Linked DNA regions of Bombyx mori. The main gene of each other region encodes a partner of the protein of the gene in region 3 in a complex. Links are inferred from orthologs where the notes say so. Each region holds a gene or a part of one and is shown on either strand. Other genes may lie near its edges.

Region 1 (6,019 bases), on a different chromosome or scaffold from region 3:
GACCGAGTTGTGGAGCCGGGCCTCGAGCTGGTCCCATTCCAGCTGCCCCTTGACCAACCATATTCGCCATACCTGGTCGTAGCCCTTTTCCCGTTCCTACTGCCGTTACTAAAGCATGCGTGTCAGCAATGTTGTGTGTTGGTTGCATACCTTAAAAAATCCACAAAACATATAACATATACAGTAAAACTTCAAATAATTATACCTATAGAAAAAACTGTAACTATATTTGAGACCTTAGAACTTATATCTCAAGGTGGGTGGCGCATTTACGTTGTGGATGTCTATGGGCTCCAGTAACCACTTGACACTAGGTGGGCTGTGAGCTCATCCACCCATCTAAACAATAAAAAAAAAAACTTCCTTAAACTGAAAAATAAAACATAAAATATATATATTAAAACATAAACATCCAGTTAACTGTCTCTAGCTGTTCTACTATGGTGTGATTCAGTTCTCCTAAGTCAGTACACATTTTTCAATGAAAAAACTTATCATCATACTTATTTATTTATTTTATTTATTTATACTTATTGTACACAAAAAGAAAATACAATAAAAACAGATTTAAAGAATGTCTAAATACTATGCACAAAGGCGAGCTTAACTCATTCATGAGTTTTCTTCCAGCAAACCATTAGCAGAGAGAAATACAATGTATAAAGAGGGGAATAGTGTACAATACAAAATCTATTAAAGCATGATTTTTAAACTAAGCTTTAAAAAAAAACTAATATGAAATGAAAAATACATATAAACATACATAAAACAATAACTTAAATACACTTTTTTAAAGTGACAGGAAATGTTTCTTCATTTGACTCTTAGAAACTTCTAGAGAGGAACTAGCACAAATAGGTTGAGGGAGAGAATTCCATAATCGCACTGCTTGTATTGTGAAATTGCATTATCATCATACTTGTTTAAGTGGTGGGCAAAATCTTGGGCATCTCTGGTGGGCATCTTTCATCTTTGTCAAAGTAAAGTCATACCTACCTTATATGAACTAATAACTTAGGATATGTGTACAATGGTCAGAATAATCCCACCTGTCTTTTCTGTAGATATTCACCAATGACTGGGGTCTAGAACTGTGAGTAGCTGAGTGTATCCTGAGTCACTGACGTGTATAAGTATTTTTGTTATGAAGAAAACAGGCATGCCAGTTTGAATTATAAGATGCCTGCCTGCCATACAACTGAGACTTCGGGCATGTGTTTTGGGTCAGGTGAAATAAGATAAGCATGTGTGTCTAAATTTTATTGAAGACAAATTGTTTTTCACTACAGTGACCCGCATCTTTTTTCAACCTCTAGAAGTTAAAAATGGACTACATAATATGAATGAAATGTTTATTAAAATCTGTCAACTGTTTAGGTAATTATGATAATTTTCTATTGTAACTTTTACTAACCTGTAGATCTCATTGACTCTCCTTCCCAGTCTTCGCGGCCTTTGGATATAATTTCCCAAACGTGACTGACAACTTTAGTGAATTGAGCAATGTGTTTCTGGAATATAAAACTATTATAATCCATACATCATCCATCTATATAATTGTAGGTAACAACTACACAACATTACATGAGAAAGTGAGCTTGTTATAATTGCATGTCTTAAGTACTCAACTTGATTATCATGCTAATTTTGCAGACAAATCTTGATTATATAAAAGAACTTATTATACATAGTTTAATAGAATTCAATGATGATATGATTGCAATGATACTGAATGATGACCATGACCACCCTGACAAGTGATACAACAAAAAAAAGAAAGAATTGATACATACTTCAACCAAATATCTCAAAGCAAGAGGTTGATTTAACTCTGTGATATCTATGGGTCCCAGCCACTATATCTCAAGTGAGCTGTGGGTTTATTCACTCAACAGTGCATTACATGTTTTAACCCCAAATATATCTATTTTTTTACCGTTTACAATGAAAACTAATTTAGATTGCGAAGTCTACAAAGAATGTCATAAAAAATTAGCCCAAATAGTTATAATGGATATTTTTCCTTGTGGTACATTAAACCTTATGCTTCTTTAAATGTTTCTGATATTTAAAATTAAATGTTAATTATTGTCTATACCTGTGCTGTATCATAGCTTAAAGTACTAGCTTTATGATTAAATTGCTGGAGACGCTGTTCAGCCTGGGGTTCAGGTTTGGTACGAAGTAAATCTGGAACTAAATCATGAGTGCAAGCTGGAACTCTGCCTTCTGTCAAATGAGCCAGTGTTTCATCACGTTCGCAACTTAATTGAAGTGGTAAAACAATTCTAGACCGCAATGAAGCTGCTTGTTCGGCTTGGAGAATTTTACTGAGGCCAGTCAGCTGAAAATAAAGAGTTAATAAAATTTAACTAAATAACACATGATCTTTAAAGTGAAAAGCTTATGTACAAATGCACTTAAATCTGAAAACAAGTCTCAAAATGGGATAATACCTAATAAATATCAGTGACCACGCTAACCAGGTTACATCAAGTGAGTTTTGAACTCGTCAGTTTTTGTTTCACTGTTTTTTCAATAATAAATTAATTATCTTTCCTACTTCAAGTTGAAATCCATCTCTGTAGACTTGTTGACTATTACACACACTATTTATGCTATGAATTTCAATATACAATTGGACTTACGTGACCAGATAAAATCGCGTAATTATCTAGAAAAGTTGGCCAATTTATTGTCTCGTATTCCGTTTCTAGTTTATTTATCAATGCTTGTATTGCAGTTTTTAAATCATTTACTCTATTTAAAATCGCAACTATTGTAGCTTCTAGTTGCTTTTCTTCTCGCTGCTGCATATTCATTGTTGTAAATGGTAGGTACACAATTGTAACTTTTTAATTCTCTTTGTTAGATTTTAATAAGGTTTAGGTACCGTACCTTACCTAGCTATTAAATAACCGTAAGGGACTAAGGGTACATAAGTAATATATCTCAAAATGGTACCATACGGTACCTACCGTACCGTAAAATGGGGCGATTAGGGACAAATTCCAACTTTATGAGCAATTTTAAGGTAGTTGTTGATGTATATAATGCTAAATCAGGATCAAAATGATTGAGTCTTGGGGGCATCTTTGTTGTCTAATTTAAAATTATGCAACTAGCATTCCAGTTTAAGCAAAAAATGCAAAAATAGGTGTAATCCCTATTTACCCGAAAATTGCGGTTAATTGGGACGAAACGAGAAATTTGCTAGGGTTGGCACTACTTTTATTTTTATATATAGTTTTAATTTATTTATTTATTTAGTTGCACCAACAAAGTGATCATCAATAAAAAAAATTGAAAAACTGACAAAAGTACATGGCAGACATCACCTCAATTATAGGTGCAATCGACAGTGCTGATATTTCTATCTGGATTAAGAGATTAGGTGTGTCGGTTATTCCATGGATTAATCAGATGAATACCCCCACTCTGAACAAATATTAAATATGTAGCAAACCGACCGGTACGTCACTCTCGCGGCCGTATGCCCGCTCGCTATACATAGTTAGTATCTATGTCAATCTTGTAACAGTGTATAATCTATGTTCCGGGCGCTTCCGTTTTGAGTGTGAATAGCGTGCGCCCGCGTCTAAATGTAATTATTGTTTAAAAATTGAAAATTGTTTGTTATAAAGGAAGATTAAAATTCGAAATTCGATATTGGTGACTAACCCATAGTTTTAAATACCCCTGAGATCTACCCCTCACTATATCTGGCTGCCCAACGTTTCCTAATTTTTTTCTTGCTTGGACTAACAAAATGGCGCGCACGCTTTTGTGAAAAATTTGCTAACTATTGTATGCTGTTGGTGCTTAATTGTAAAGAATGCCTTTAACTAGAAGTCAAGATCGCCAGCAACGTCGCGAAGACGACGTTATTCCTGCTGCAGATGCAAATGCCAACGAAAATCACGAGGAGCATGATAGCCCCCATGATCGCCCCCACGCCGAATCACGTAGCAACAATTCTACGTTCAACTTGGATGATGTTTCAGCGTTGATGGCCTCGCTGCAACGTTCGCAGGCCGAAACATTTAAGAACATTATGTCGTACGTGATGGAACAAAGATCGTCGACTCCGGCACCTCCGCCGATGCCCCCAGTGAACGTAGATGGTACCTTGGCGCGTTGCAGAGCTTCTTTCAGCGGTGCACCTGGTGAATCTGTTGAGGCCTTTATAGATGCAATTGAAAGTTATACAGAATGCGTTCAAGTATCTGACGCTAACATCATACGAGGCCTAGCCATGCTTTTGTCTGCTGACGCAGCTACGTGGTGGCTAGGATTAAAGCATCACATCTCCACTTGGAACGAAGCCAAAGAAAATTTAATATATGCATATGGCACCCGCCTTCCACCACATAGAATATATTTGGAAATATTTGTTTCCCCGCAGGATAAAGAAAACACAGACAAGTTTGTTGCTCGTATTCGTGCGCTTATGGCAAAGCTACCGCGGGATGATATTGCTGAAAAAGTACAACTTGATATGATATACGGGTTGCTTCATAATAGAATACGCACAAGATTGCGCCGTGAAGAAATCACATCTTTCAATTCATTATTAAACCATGCTCGGAATATAGAAGATTCGATAGAGGAGACTCAATCGAGACCAGTGTCGTCCACTAGTGGTGTGCGTTCGATCCGTGCCCAGCCGGCCCAGGCTGCGAGTCGGCCTGAACCGTGCGCCGCTCGTGCGAGTGCCCCGGCGCCGCGCGCGCGCTTTCCAAACTCCGCCGCGGCCGTCGTGCCCGCCACCGCTGTGCCTGTCGCTGTCGCCCAGCCTACCGTTGCCACGCCTGCCGCTGCTGTGCCAGGTTCTGCAGAGCAATTCGTGACCACGAAGAAACAGCGTCCAGTGTGCTCCTACTGCAAACGGTTTGGACATGCACGGGAACAGTGCCGTAAGTTAAACAACCGAGGTGAGCAAAGTCAATCTAACTTTTCCGAGGGTGTGCAAAATGACAATAATGCGTTTTATAGTGTTCAGTGTAATGTTAATAATACTAACACAATTAGTTCTAATTTACCTGTTCAGAATGCAATGTATGATGTTAAGCAGCATGACAAAAATATTTTTCTGAGTAATTTTGAATGTCAAAATTTTTGTAACCGGGATGCAAATATTAATTATGCTACCATTAACAGAGGCCCTACTTCCAGAAAATCTTATTTTCATGCCTGTAATGATTCTGTGTCAAAGAATATTAACTGTAATTGCACTAGTAATAATGAGATGCCAACCTTTTGTTATTCTCATGTTTTATATAATCAGGATGTTCGGACAAAGTGTAAAAATTTAAATATTTGTTATAACCAGGGAACTAGACCTAAATGTAAGAACTCATTTTTACCTTATGATCAAATAATTGAACCAAATTGTAATAATTTAAAATTTTCAACTAACCATGACTGTGACACAAAAGGCAGTAAGTGTAATTTTGGAAAAATTAACGAATGTGTGGAAATTGATAATTGTCTGAATTTTAATTATTGTACATGTGAGGGAAGTGTTGTAGCGTCCGTGTACGACCGTGAGAGTGATGATAGGTATTTGCATTTACGGCCTATTTTCAAAATTCAAGTTCTCGGTAATCAGGGTACTGCACTTATAGATACAGCAGCTAAGCATTGTATTGCTGGTCACACGCTGTATGCTCTCCTTCTGCATAAGGGTCACCCTCTTACTCCCTCCACTAGGCGAGTCAAACTTGCTGATGGGCATGTTCGGAATATGGATGTATTGACAACCATATTACCAGTGAGGTTAGAACACATAGTGATTGATATTCCATTTATAATCTTCCCTGATTCTAATGATAATGAAACTTTACTGGGTATTGATTTTATTAATGCTGCCAAAGTTATTATTGATTTTCATCGTCATGAATGGTATTTTAGTACTGATGCTAAGGTGCATTATAAATTACTTTTTGAACCTATGTCTCGTGGTGTGTGCATAGCTTCTACTAACATGCTTCGGGATGATGAAGGTATGCACTTGCAA
Region 2 (6,268 bases), on a different chromosome or scaffold from region 3:
CTTTACATTGTCGTATTTGAGACTTTCTTCGAATGCAAACATTATGCTAGTATCATCTAACATCATCTTAGATGCCACAAGTGCCAAAATACAATTTTTCACTCGCGCCATCGTTTCTCTTTCTGATTTCCCAACAGGCTGCAATAAAAATGATATCAGCATCATATTAGCATATGCAACAATTTCATGAGGGCATGAGAACATGCATGAGTTCTATTTTCTTAAAACATGGAAAAACACAAAGTTTAGTGAAAATGATATAATAAATCTTTAACTTGTGTTTATCGTTTATCTTTCTTAACTCCTATTCCCGAACACTGCACACTGATAGCATTAACCCACCTGAATTTCATAATTTTCAATTGCATCCTTATTTCCTTCCATAAGAATATCACTTTTGTGTGGACTAATCCATATATATCCATTATTCCCTATTATGACAGATACTGCACATGGTAAGTTGTGAAAATGATTTTTTCTGCGCTTTATCAATGACGGGAATACTTTTATTAAAGTTCCCTGTGAAAGCTGCAAAAAATAAAGTTTTCGAACAAACTCTTAAATTAATTTTTTTTTAGTATTAGCAAGGAGTAGAAAGTTCAACATTTTGTGATATTAATTATTATTAGAGGACTGTATGAATGATTCTATTTTAAGGTATGAAGGGCTATTTGGTTTAGAGGAAAGTCATGTAATTTAAAAATTGAAAAAAAAACATGACAAAACTTCTCCAGCTATTTCAATGGAGAATACTTAATTGGTGTTCAATTAAAAACAATTAATTGTATAAACTAATACCAAATAAAATTTACCTTTAATTACACAGATAGATGCCATGTAGTAAGCGAAGTGTCACTTAAAACAAATAGCCTTACGCCCCTTGATTTTATTTATTTAAACATATAGGTAGTGAATTAAAGCAGATTTAAGTGTTTGTGTAGACTTGTAATCAATTTGCTAATGAAGCATGTTTAATCTACTCAGAAGGATAAATATCATCTTCACTTTGGAGGATTTCAAAATTTAATGTTGCTACATATTTGAATATTTTTAATTTCCTTATAACATTCTTGTTGAACTTTAGAATAGTCATTTTTTATTGGCTTCATAAAATCTGATTACCTTGCCATATTTCAAACTTCTTGTATGCAATGAGAGCGAACCATCAGAAAATACATTCTGTACTTCAGCGCTTATCAAATCACCTTCCTGTAAATGTTTTCTCATCATCTGCTCATCCTCTTCTGAACGCCTTCTCTGGATTTAAAAAAATATATAAATAGTTATCATTAGATACAAGAAGATTGCTTTATATTATGGAAGTGTGCGTTAATTTACCAATTCTCCGCCAGGTAGATTTACTGAAGAAAGTTGAAGTATTGAATCAAGTCGTGAATTGGTATCAACTTTCCATCTTTTCTGTTGAACTTCCAATACTCTTCCGACTACCACATCGCCTATTTCTCCAACGTAACGACTCTTCAATGGGCGAATGCATATAAGTTTATTTACTTTTTGCATAACCCCAGCAACAGATGCTTTTAGGCAATCATCTTCTGCGTAAGTTCCGTGGCCTCTTAAAGTGCAAAATTATTAAATTTATAGTAATAATAATTCTTAACAATATTGTTTTCGCAAAAAATACCGACCTCATAAAATCTTGTATCCCAGTTATGACTTCGCCAGGAGTGTAAAAACGCGGCGGGTCATTATTTGAGGCAACCGAATGATTTACTCTTTCAGATGCGAGTTTTATAGATACATGACTGACCATTTCTAATGTTTTTTTAAGCTCCCTCTTTGCTAATTGTGAATTGTGTACAACGAACTCATAGACCTATAGTCGGATTTTTTATTAGACGAAGTCAACTGACGTTTACTGTGTTGTCAGGTTTTGATGAAATAAAAATAGTGTTGTGACAAAGTGAACGATTGAAAAAACTCCTGAATTAATGAAATTGCCTCGATTGTCTAGTGAATAGTTAGTGTGCCGAATTGCCGATATCGGGTACGGGGTTCGAATTTTAGGCGTGCTTTGTACAACCAATGAGTTTTCGACGAAATATTATGTTCCTATAGTATCTACCTGCACTGAATACCGAGTGTTTTAAACATTAAGAAAAACATTGCGAGGAAGCTTGTAAGACTGTCCTATTTCCAATACATCATATAGTTGAAATTATAGATGTATAAAATATAACAATTATAGGTATGTAATGAAAATAAAAAAAAGTAATTGTAGTTACATACTACTAGTAACATATATTGGAGCACTTTAATACAATTTTATTGTAAAATATAAATAATATTCTTTTATAGTTTGAAATTAATGATTAACTCTTCACACTCATTGTTCATTCATGTGATTGAACGAGAACTGAACAGATGATAAGGGATGAAATACAATCTCACTAAAATGACGGTTATTTACTGAGATTTTGGCCTTTTTGGACGATCCCGAGAAGTTACGTCCAGCGGCTTGGTTTCATTTTCCCACATTGGTGCACTTTCATAGATATTGAACAGTTAATAAACAACCGTTATTACAGGTTTAAACCTGAAGACACACTAAATAGACAAAATAAAACAAATCACACAATTTCACTCCTCGCATGTAGAATCATTGGTGACAAAAAATGTTTAAAAACAAATACGGCCGTACCAATATGATAATATGATGCGATACCATTGCCTCTCTCTCCTGTATTTGAAAAAGGAAATTACAAAATGTCACCTAAATGAGGCTAAATGTCAACATTGTTAGTAACTGTCAAGCTAACAGCGATTGCAAACATATCTCTACCTTGTTAAATTCCAATATGAGTATTTAGATTATGTTAATTAGAAATTAGAATTTATTTTCTCCTTTAAAATTGCCTAGTTTTTTATTTTACGCAATATTTATAGTTTCGGTTATATGGACTATTTAGACTGAATGCACCTCTATGAGACAGAAAAGTCGTTTATAAGTGTAATGATTTCTTGGCTCACACATAGTTCTTCAAAACTTAAATCTTTAAATAGCTGCTATTGAAGTAGGTTTTCAGATTTTCAGCTCCATAAAATGTCGGCAAACGCTGCACCTATAACAGCTACAGATAGCTTATCGCAAGCTTTAAAAGCGAACATTATACCAAATCAGGAATACTTACTTCAGGTACTACAGGATGTTGAAGTGGCTCAGCTATTTTAAATTTCAGAATAATTACAATATAGTCTACATTCTTCTACAGTTTCCATAAATTGCATACTTAACAGAACTAATTACCATAGTTGCAGCTATTGTATCCAATTCTTTTGACCCATTTGATCTGTTTACATACTACATTCAAAATATTATCAGAACCCATACATACATAGCTTACATATAATAGCAGCCCAAAAAAACATGAGATAAGGTCTTAGTTACAATGCCTACAATGCTGTTCTTAATAAATAAAAATAATTCATTTAATGATTTTCAATTTTACAGTATTTCATAGCTGGAAATTATGATAATTAGGCAACAGGCAGCAACTTTTCTCAAGATTCAGTCAAGTTTGTTAATTGTTGAATATTATACATTTAATTTTTGATTCCACTAAAATTTGATTAAGGGCTCAGTGTTGGACTCGGCAGTAGAAGTTTTACTTCACCGATTACGTGGTCTTTGTGACAATGTTGATGCTGGGCCAGAAACATTTGATGACCAGGAAGTGTGTTTCAGTCTACGGGATCCTAATCATCATCAGGTAATAATAATACTTAGAACTTTTTAAAATATTTCTGTTAATGTTATTATTATTTTAGGACACTAGAATATAAAATGGTTATAAAATTATAATACAATAAAACTTGTATTAAATTATAAATTGATTAAATTTTGCCTGGGCTGTCACCTGTTTGGTCAAGAAAAGTGCTAATGATTTGGTAATCACTATTAATACTGTACAATTCGTGAGCATAAAGACATGCCTGAATCTATATATTTTTCTTTCATGTTCTAATAGTTCATCTTTAATAAATTTAAATTTCAGGCTCCCCCTCTCATGTTGCGTGTTCGTAAAGCATTAGATGCTCGAGACATGCCATTTCAGTTACGATACATTGGGCAGCCTGATTTGGGGGACAAAAATAGGCCAACAGTTGTCCGTTCCAGTCTTGATATAGCCTGCAGTGGAATGCTCATTGAATTTTTAAATGAGCTAGGATGCCGAATTGAATTTGAATACAGTGTAAAAGGTAATAATATTTATTATAATGACAATTATGAGTAATATGATTGTACATGTATTTGATAGTATATTCTAAATCATCACTATTACTATACCACTATTGTTAATAATGACGAATCAAAGAAGACCAATAGTCAAAAATACTAATTCAATTTAAAGTATTACCTAGATTTGGGATTTAATTAAATTGCATATAATTTTCAGTGGTTCATTTAAAATCAATCAATTACGGTAATTTTATAAAAAACATTAAGCTTTTTCTAATTCTAAATTTCAGGTTACATGTTTAGAAAAGGTCGTATGAAAATTACTGTAGCAAAAGTGTTTAAGATTTCTCAAAATTCAATGCCACCTGAACCTATCTCACAGAGCTATCTTGTGGAGCTTTCTGTAAGTTTTTGACACCCAATTAAATAATTTGTCAAATTTCCCAAACAATACCGCTTTCTGGTTTTGCTTGAGTATGATGATTATATATGATCTTTAAGTACCGTAGATTGGGGAAAATGGGGACCCTTTCCAATTCCAAAACAAATTTTCAATGCTTTTATTCTTAGGGTAATACCAATAAAATTGAGATTAAAATGGCTCCGAAGGTTTAAATTTTTAAATACGATTCATTATTTTATATAGTTCATATAGTCACAAAATATACACAAAACCTTAAAAAACTTGCTTGACCCGATTCTCTTTGAATGAGGCTATTTCTCTCATTGACTTGTCCTTCTTCAAACGAGGCTTGTGGAGAGTATACAACGGTAGGCAGCGGCTTGGCTCTGCCCCTGGCATTGCTGAAGTCCATGGGCGACGATAACCACTCAGCATCAGGTGGGCCGTATGCTCGTCTGCCTACAAGGGCAATAAAAAAAATACGCTATGTATGGGGACAACAGAGTTTTTCGATAAGGCTGGCACTATTTAGTTCTTAGGTAGGTACCTAACTTTAGGTAATTAATTTTTTATATCTTTAATGAGATACAAAGTTTTGATATCTGAATTAAACTATATAATATTCTTAAACACTAAATAATAGTCATCTTCAGTGCAACAAAGTTATATCTAACAACCCAACAAGAGTATTGTGACATCCCAGATTTGTCCCTATTCTAACTCTAGTCTCTATTCTCCCCAATCTACTGTAAATAAACTAAAAATAAGGAAGAGATTTTTAATTTGCTGGCTTGGTTTTGATGTAAACAGCTTGGTTTTTTCAAGCTATAAAAACATAAGTAACCTAACCTACAGGTTTCCATGAATAAGTAAGGCTCAATAATAAGCTTCAATTGTTTTTTTTTCTTCTTATTTGTACGTATTAAGTAGATTTTATATAATTAATGTATGTAGTTGATGTTTGTAGAGCAATGTGGATTTATTTTATTTCATGTATGTTATGTGATGTGTAGTGTATTTCAGTTGTTGAAGACTTTTACCCTTCTTTAATATCTTTGGTTCCCTTAGGTTTGTTAGAACAAAAGACTAATTAATACATTAAACTCACCATTGGACATTCTTTTACAAGTCTTATTTTAGTATCATTTTCTGTGTACCTATAATATATAAGAATAAGATGATAGACTAACTTTTATTTGCTGATAGTGAGTCCTGAGTCCTATAAGGATTGTGCGCCCAAAATGTTATATAAACTCTGCTACTTAAACAATTTTGGGGATGCTTAAACGACAAAGGGAAGATCTTCCACCGAGCGGATGATATTGCTCGGTAGACCGACGGTCCGAATGTTGTTATTCGGAACTTGTACATATGCGCTTTATCTTGAAAATGTCGTAAGCGAGATTCAGGCATCTGTCAATTATCTTGCGTTGTATGATGGCTACCCGCCACATCACTCCCCTCCGAGACTGGAGGTCGTGTCATTTTTAGATATCGTTGTCCGTGCTGAGATTAGCTTGCAAGTGCCAGTGCTGCTCGAAGTTTGCGGTGAGTCGAAACTGAGCTTGAATGCTGCGTGATTGTCGCCAGTGCTGCTCGAAGTCTGCGGTGAGTCGAGACTGAGCTTGAATGCTGCGCGATGAGGCAGTGTAGGTGCGTGCCGT
Region 3 (6,105 bases):
AATAATTTACATATTTATAATATTTAAATCAATAATAATAATTTAATAATTCAAATAATTTAATAGGTAGAAATGAAATGTAAACAGAAAGTAATTTTAATTCAAAGATAATGTTGGTTTAAAGCATAATAATTGAAGCTGAAGTGGTTCCTCCATATTTTTCTTTTCGAATACACTAAATACTGAGTTGGTATAATAAATAAATAAATAACTATATAATTTTTTGGCAAAAGTGGCAGAGATTTAATAAACTGCATCATATAAGTTAAAATAATACCTTACCTAAGCACTAATCACGCGTCGGTGCAGATTCGTAGGTACAATATAAATGCATTAAAAAACATTAATAGTACAGGTTCCTTATCCGCAGATTAAAAATATGCGACCCAATTCCTATGTTCGCTGCTAAAGATTTCTTTATTCGTGGATTTAATCGATACATACACATTGATAAAAAGGATTAGAATATGTAGGTATCCAACATAATATCCTTTGTAAAAGTACTTTTCCATGTTCACGGAACGCTTGCCCCGCGAATAAGGAGCTTTTAGTGTATAGTAAAGTTCGTCAATAACTGCTACACAAACAAAAAACTCTTAACAACCACTTAGTAAAGGGACATTTAAAGAAAAACCATTAGGTACGGTACCATATTTTTTTGTAATCTAGATCTTATCAATGGTTACTGAACAAAAAAAGGACAGAAACAGAAAATAAAATGGCGCTCAACTGTTTACTGTAGAGGTCATTCCAGCCTTAAATGCTTAAAGATAAATAAAACCAAAAATTTAAATAATGTCTTTCTATCAAATTTTATTTCTATAAGGGTGGTAAAAAGAAAACAAAATTATCAATTACACTATCAGGTTAACAGGACATTATATTGATGCCGAAGCAAATTTTAAAGAACATAGTCCTACCACTAAATATGTAATTCTTAAAATTTCAATTTCATTTATTCCTAAAATTTGCTTCAGAAAATTTTAGAGATTTCTGCAATATTTTTTCGTCTGCAGCTACCTACACAGGTGTGTTTTATTGTATTCTAAATAATAATAAAAAAAAACATTAAATTTAGCTTAACTTGGTAAACAGAACGATTTTCTTATAACAAATTCTTAAATATTAATTAAATACATTACTTTGAGTCGAGCCCAAAGAGATGGAAGAGACCTCATGGAATTCAACAGTAACAATATTTTTGTTTTAATGTCACTCTGTGGGCAATTCGCTCAGAAATTTAATTCTTAATTAGTAATATTTTTTAATAAATTCCTAATGTTTGCATTAGAAACATTTGAGAATGATGTGATTATTCTTTCAAAGTGGTCAACTTAACACAATGTTGCTTGCCATCATGGCATTTTAACTCTATTAGGTAACTTAGCATAACAAAATCTTATTAAATCTACCATGCAATCGAACCTGTTGAAAGCCAAGTAGAAGTTACTAGAAATCTTAAGTTCAGAATCAAAAGTAATTACTATGAAGTAAAGATAATAAATTAGCTATAAGTTTAAAACATTGCCTGACTAGCAATTTTAGGTATTTCATAAAAACAAAAGTCTTGCAAACCTCATTTTTCTTATTATGGTTTAAAATGTGATAAAAAACTTCGTTTTTTCTTCATTTTATGGACATATACACCCCATTGAATAATGAAGAAATATAGATTCAGATAAATCTACTCTTTTTTTTATTTTATTGCTTAGATGGGTGGATGTAACATAAATGCAATGGTCTCAAGTATAGTTACAACAGCTGCCCCATTCTTCAAACCGAAACTTATTACTTCGGCAGAAATAGGCGGGCTGGTAGTAGCTACTCATGCGGACTCACAAGAGGTCCTACCACCAGTAATGACGCAAATTATAATTTTGCAGGTTTGACTTTTATTACAATGTTATTCCTTCACTGTGGATGTCAATCGTGAACATTTGTCAAGTATGTATTTCATTAAAAGAATTGGTACTTGCCTGGGATTCGAACACCAGTGCATCGCTTAACACGAATGCACCAGACGTCTTATCCTTTAGGCCACAACCAATTGTATGTTATTCTTCTTGTGTTATTATACCATTCAACCAATTGAGGAAAACTTTCCACTTTAATGAAATGTTAACAACATTCCATCGTATTACAATCAACTTATGATAGATAGCACGTGTAGTTTCAACAAATGAGTGCCGTTCATACATTTAGTCATATGCACAACAAAGTGTAGAGGTACATTTCACTAGTAATGGAATATCACTAGAACACAATGAATTACTAATTTTTAGTCATCTTTAGTACAATACTCTCTTTGGGCTCATTATTCGACTTAAACCTACTTGTACACTTATATTTACGGTAATGGATGTTGGTTTGGTGTAAGGCCTCCATGCTCAGGGCTGTGTTTTTGCTTTTTTCTCTTTTTCTCTTTTTTTCTCTTCTTTCGTTCTTTCTCATCGTCATGACGTTTTTGCTTCTTATGCTTTTTCTCATATGTGTCTGGATTTGATGAATCTAGAATAATAGATATGTTTTATATTAAAACTCAAGACAAAAATGGAGTATAAATAATATAACTTATAAAGCAATTTAAAAAGTATCACTTGACATCTAAAGTTAAATGAAATCATTGTGGCCTAAAGAATAAGACGCCTGGTGCATTCATATTGAGTGATGCGACTGTGTTAGTGTTGGAATCCCGCAGATAAGTACCATTTTTCCTTATGAAATATGTACTTGACAAATGTTCACAATTGACTTCCACAGTGAAGGACAGTGTTGTAAACAGACTCACTAAAAATAATTGATAGGGTGTCTTCTGAGCCCGCACGGGTTAGTACCACAAAATGTAAAATGCAGAGTACAATTACACTGCAATTCAAATACTGTCTTAACTAGATTAATGTAGTCAAAGTGCCTGGAAGACTCACCTAGACCTAAATAGCATCTACAGGTGGCTAATTTGTAATATTGTCTACAAGCTTGGGACATAGCTAAATCTATTAAATCAATGTTGTTGAGTTCTGAGTTCTTACCTTGTAAAGGTGTCTCTTGCCCAGGAGGTGCACCATCTTTATGCTTATGTTTCTTATGTTTGCTTTTATGTCGCTTTGGTGGTGTTGCACTCACATATCTGTACTGCTCAGGAAGTGGGCCAGGGTGTAATCGAAAACCTGCCAACTGAGCACTAGTTAATGGCAGTAATTCTTTACCACCAATTGGTCTCTTAGCTATAACTGAACTTAGAGTACTGTTATCGTCCTGCCCAGGTCCGTCAACGATGCCCGGCAGGTTCGGAAGGAAAGATGATAGGGATTCCTTCAGCTTTTTGCCATTAAACTTACTGTAAGAATGTACAAGTCCATAGTAGGCCATTAAATTTGTAGCGCCTGTCAGTTCACATTCTCCTGTAAAAGAAATCGTCGAAGTCACTTCCTGAATATAATTATTTAAGAATTTGAGAAGAGAATGTTAAAGAGTTGGAGATACTGACCCGGGGGTTCTTTCATCAAATAGAATGGTCCGCTGTGCACTATAGACGGGTTTTTGCCTAAGGATATAGTAGTTTTGAGTGTACCAGAAGAATCTTGGCGAGAGACGACTGGTGACCTCGCACCCCTCGGCGACGATTTTGGCGAATATGGTTCTACTTTCCTAAACTGATCAGACATCATCTTGGATGACCATTATCTACGAAACGAACTTAAATAAATTAAATACTCTAAACAAAATCACAAAAAATTAAAAAGACCTTCCCTACTCCCAAGCTTTTGACAACTCTAAAAAATAAAAGTAGGAACAATGTTGCAACACTTTTTTTTTAAGGGAACTGAGACCTTTAAGTCATGTCTTATTTTAATTTATATTCAATTTTTATGAAAAATAATATTATGGAGTGAAATAATGAAGACGACTAATTTGAGATATTAATCAACGGGATGAAATTAAATGAAATGAAATGGGATGAAATATAATCTCAGTAAAATGGTGGTCATTTACTAAGATTTTTTCAGTGGACTTTTTGGAGGATCCCGAGAAGTTACGTCCAGCGGCTTTGTTTCATTTTTCCACATTTGCGCACTTTCACAGATATTAAACACTTAATAAACCACCATTATTACACATTTAAACCCGAAGAAACACTAAATAGACAAAATAAAACAAATCACACAACTTCACTCCTCACGTTCCCGCCAAAAAGTCCTGTTGCAACACTAGCTTTGTAACTCCCACAGACTCTAATATTGTTATTTAAAGAAAATCATAACAATAGGTACATGGTTTTGTTGGTTCTCAAGAAATTTATATTTAAATTAAATACTAGCAATTCTCAAATTAAAATAGCAACTGTCTAATTAAAATAGACTTGTTTTGAATTAGTTGAAATAGTCTATTATAGTTCTGACACATAAGCACTTGGAGCTTCCGTGATAATTTTGTATGGAAAATGAATTGTGATGTCTATGAGCTTTGAAAACACTTTAAAACTGGTCCAATGGTGTTGGAGTTTGAATATGTAAGTAATGGCAGGTAACACTTGACACATGTAAGGTTACAGTTTTCGAATATTGAAATGCTTATTTAAATATTTAAAACAGATGAGTCTTCTCTTGAGTGAGGACAATGGCTTCTCTTCTAGACACGGACTATGCAACATCTTAGGGTTTTATAAAATAAAATATTGTAATGGTGTTATATATTAACCATGAAGCAGAGTGTTTTTAAATAGCCCCTCACCTACAGAACCCAGTCCTCTCAAATTTAACCGTCCAACAAAAGGTCTCGGTAACAGGTCATACAATCTTTAAAAAATCCACTAAACAAGAAAGCATGAGCTCATTCAAACTTTGAAGCAGTAAAAAAATCAAACATTCTTATTGAAACAAATGCTTAGGCTTTTTTTTTTGTTTAAGTCGTCCTGGCTTAAACTATAAGACGTCCGTAGGCTTAGTGCGAGTTTCAAAAATCGAATCGAATGACTCGCATCGAGTGTACGCTCTTCACGGTGAAACGTGCGGAGCTCTGAGTGCGAGTTACTTGATTTGCAGGACGTTTATTCATTTTGAAAAGCGATATTTTTTTCTTTTATATTGGTAGCACGCAAGGTTTTTTTTAAGGCGTTTAATTGAAATGCCAAGCTTTCTAACGATATTTATAATTAGTCGGGTAATGGGTAATGTACCTGTGCTTAGTGCAAGTTTTTTTAATTACTCAGTCGATGTTAATGTTATGTTTATTTTGTGTGAGGTTGTATCAGTGCCACCTAGTGGTAAGCTTATGAATCTCATTTTGTGGGAGAGAGAAGGTTTGTTTATGTTGCTGTCTCATGTATCAAATAGCTTTACCGAAGTGAGCCTCTCGATTATTGTATGTGCGAGTGCGAGTTGCAAATTAATGGATTTTGAGAGTATTTCTTCACTTTCAAGCAAGTTAAGTAGTCACTAAAATTTTTGCCGTGAAAGCAATATAATATCAAGATTTTTTCTTTCGTTTTTAATAATAATGTTGTTTTTGAAGGTTTTATCTATTCTAATGGTTTATACACATATATTTTTTCGGTTAGAAAATTTTATAGACGTCTAGCTAGTTGTAAATACATATTAATTCTTTGCTTTTTCATTTAATTCTTATTAAATCATTGCTTTTTTTTAAAGAGATGTTTGATGAGAGAGAGAGAGTGAGATAGAGTATTCTTTATTGTACACAAAATGAATAAATATTGCGAAACATTCTTGGTCTTATCGCTAAGAGTGATCTCTTCCAGACAACCATTAGATGGGCAAGAATAATTTCGAAATGAATTGCACACTGTGTACCTATCTATTATAGAAATATATATACACACCCGCACGCACACACGCACACACACACACACACACCCACACACACACACACACACACACACACATACACACACGCACGCGCGCGCGCAATATACATATTTACAGGTACATACGTACAGATTTATATTTTTAAATTATATAGAAATTTGAACAATGTAATAATAATTTTGCTTCTTTACACATTTATAAATAAGGATGGATGCTCGTAATAATTTTAGTATATTTGGGCCACCTAATGAAGATCATATTATCATACTATTACCGTAAA

The links.
Region 1: mediator of RNA polymerase II transcription subunit 19 (region 3) and mediator of RNA polymerase II transcription subunit 8 share a complex: the UniProt entries of both Drosophila melanogaster proteins name them as parts of the mediator complex. The link is inferred for Bombyx mori from reciprocal best matches to the Drosophila melanogaster genes MED19 and MED8.
Region 2: mediator of RNA polymerase II transcription subunit 19 (region 3) and mediator of RNA polymerase II transcription subunit 18 share a complex: the UniProt entries of both Drosophila melanogaster proteins name them as parts of the mediator complex. The link is inferred for Bombyx mori from reciprocal best matches to the Drosophila melanogaster genes MED19 and MED18.

Annotation. Positions count from the first base shown.
Region 1 is NC_085118.1:10,645,534-10,651,552, forward strand, and holds the start of mediator of RNA polymerase II transcription subunit 8, read right to left. Parts: upstream 3,524-6,019; 5' UTR 2,823-3,523; coding exon 2,649-2,822; intron 2,345-2,648; coding exon 2,099-2,344; intron 1,512-2,098; coding exon 1,415-1,511; intron 151-1,414; coding exon 1-150. Other genes in the region: uncharacterized protein LOC134199859, read left to right, coding at 3,836-6,019. UniProt on the Drosophila melanogaster protein: Component of the Mediator complex, a coactivator involved in the regulated transcription of nearly all RNA polymerase II-dependent genes.
Region 2 is NC_085121.1:5,596,000-5,602,267, reverse strand, and holds the start of mediator of RNA polymerase II transcription subunit 18, read left to right. Parts: upstream 1-2,745; 5' UTR 2,746-3,064; coding exon 3,065-3,157; intron 3,158-3,596; coding exon 3,597-3,731; intron 3,732-4,016; coding exon 4,017-4,221; intron 4,222-4,491; coding exon 4,492-4,604; intron 4,605-6,268. Other genes in the region: exosome complex component RRP4, read right to left, coding at 1-138, 343-528, 1,123-1,257, 1,339-1,576, 1,650-1,774. UniProt on the Drosophila melanogaster protein: Component of the Mediator complex, a coactivator involved in the regulated transcription of nearly all RNA polymerase II-dependent genes.
Region 3 is NC_085116.1:16,051,741-16,057,845, forward strand, and holds mediator of RNA polymerase II transcription subunit 19, read right to left. Parts: upstream 4,194-6,105; 5' UTR 3,669-4,193; coding exon 3,488-3,668; intron 3,402-3,487; coding exon 3,030-3,401; intron 2,509-3,029; coding exon 2,348-2,508; 3' UTR 788-2,347; downstream 1-787. UniProt on the Drosophila melanogaster protein: Component of the Mediator complex, a coactivator involved in the regulated transcription of nearly all RNA polymerase II-dependent genes.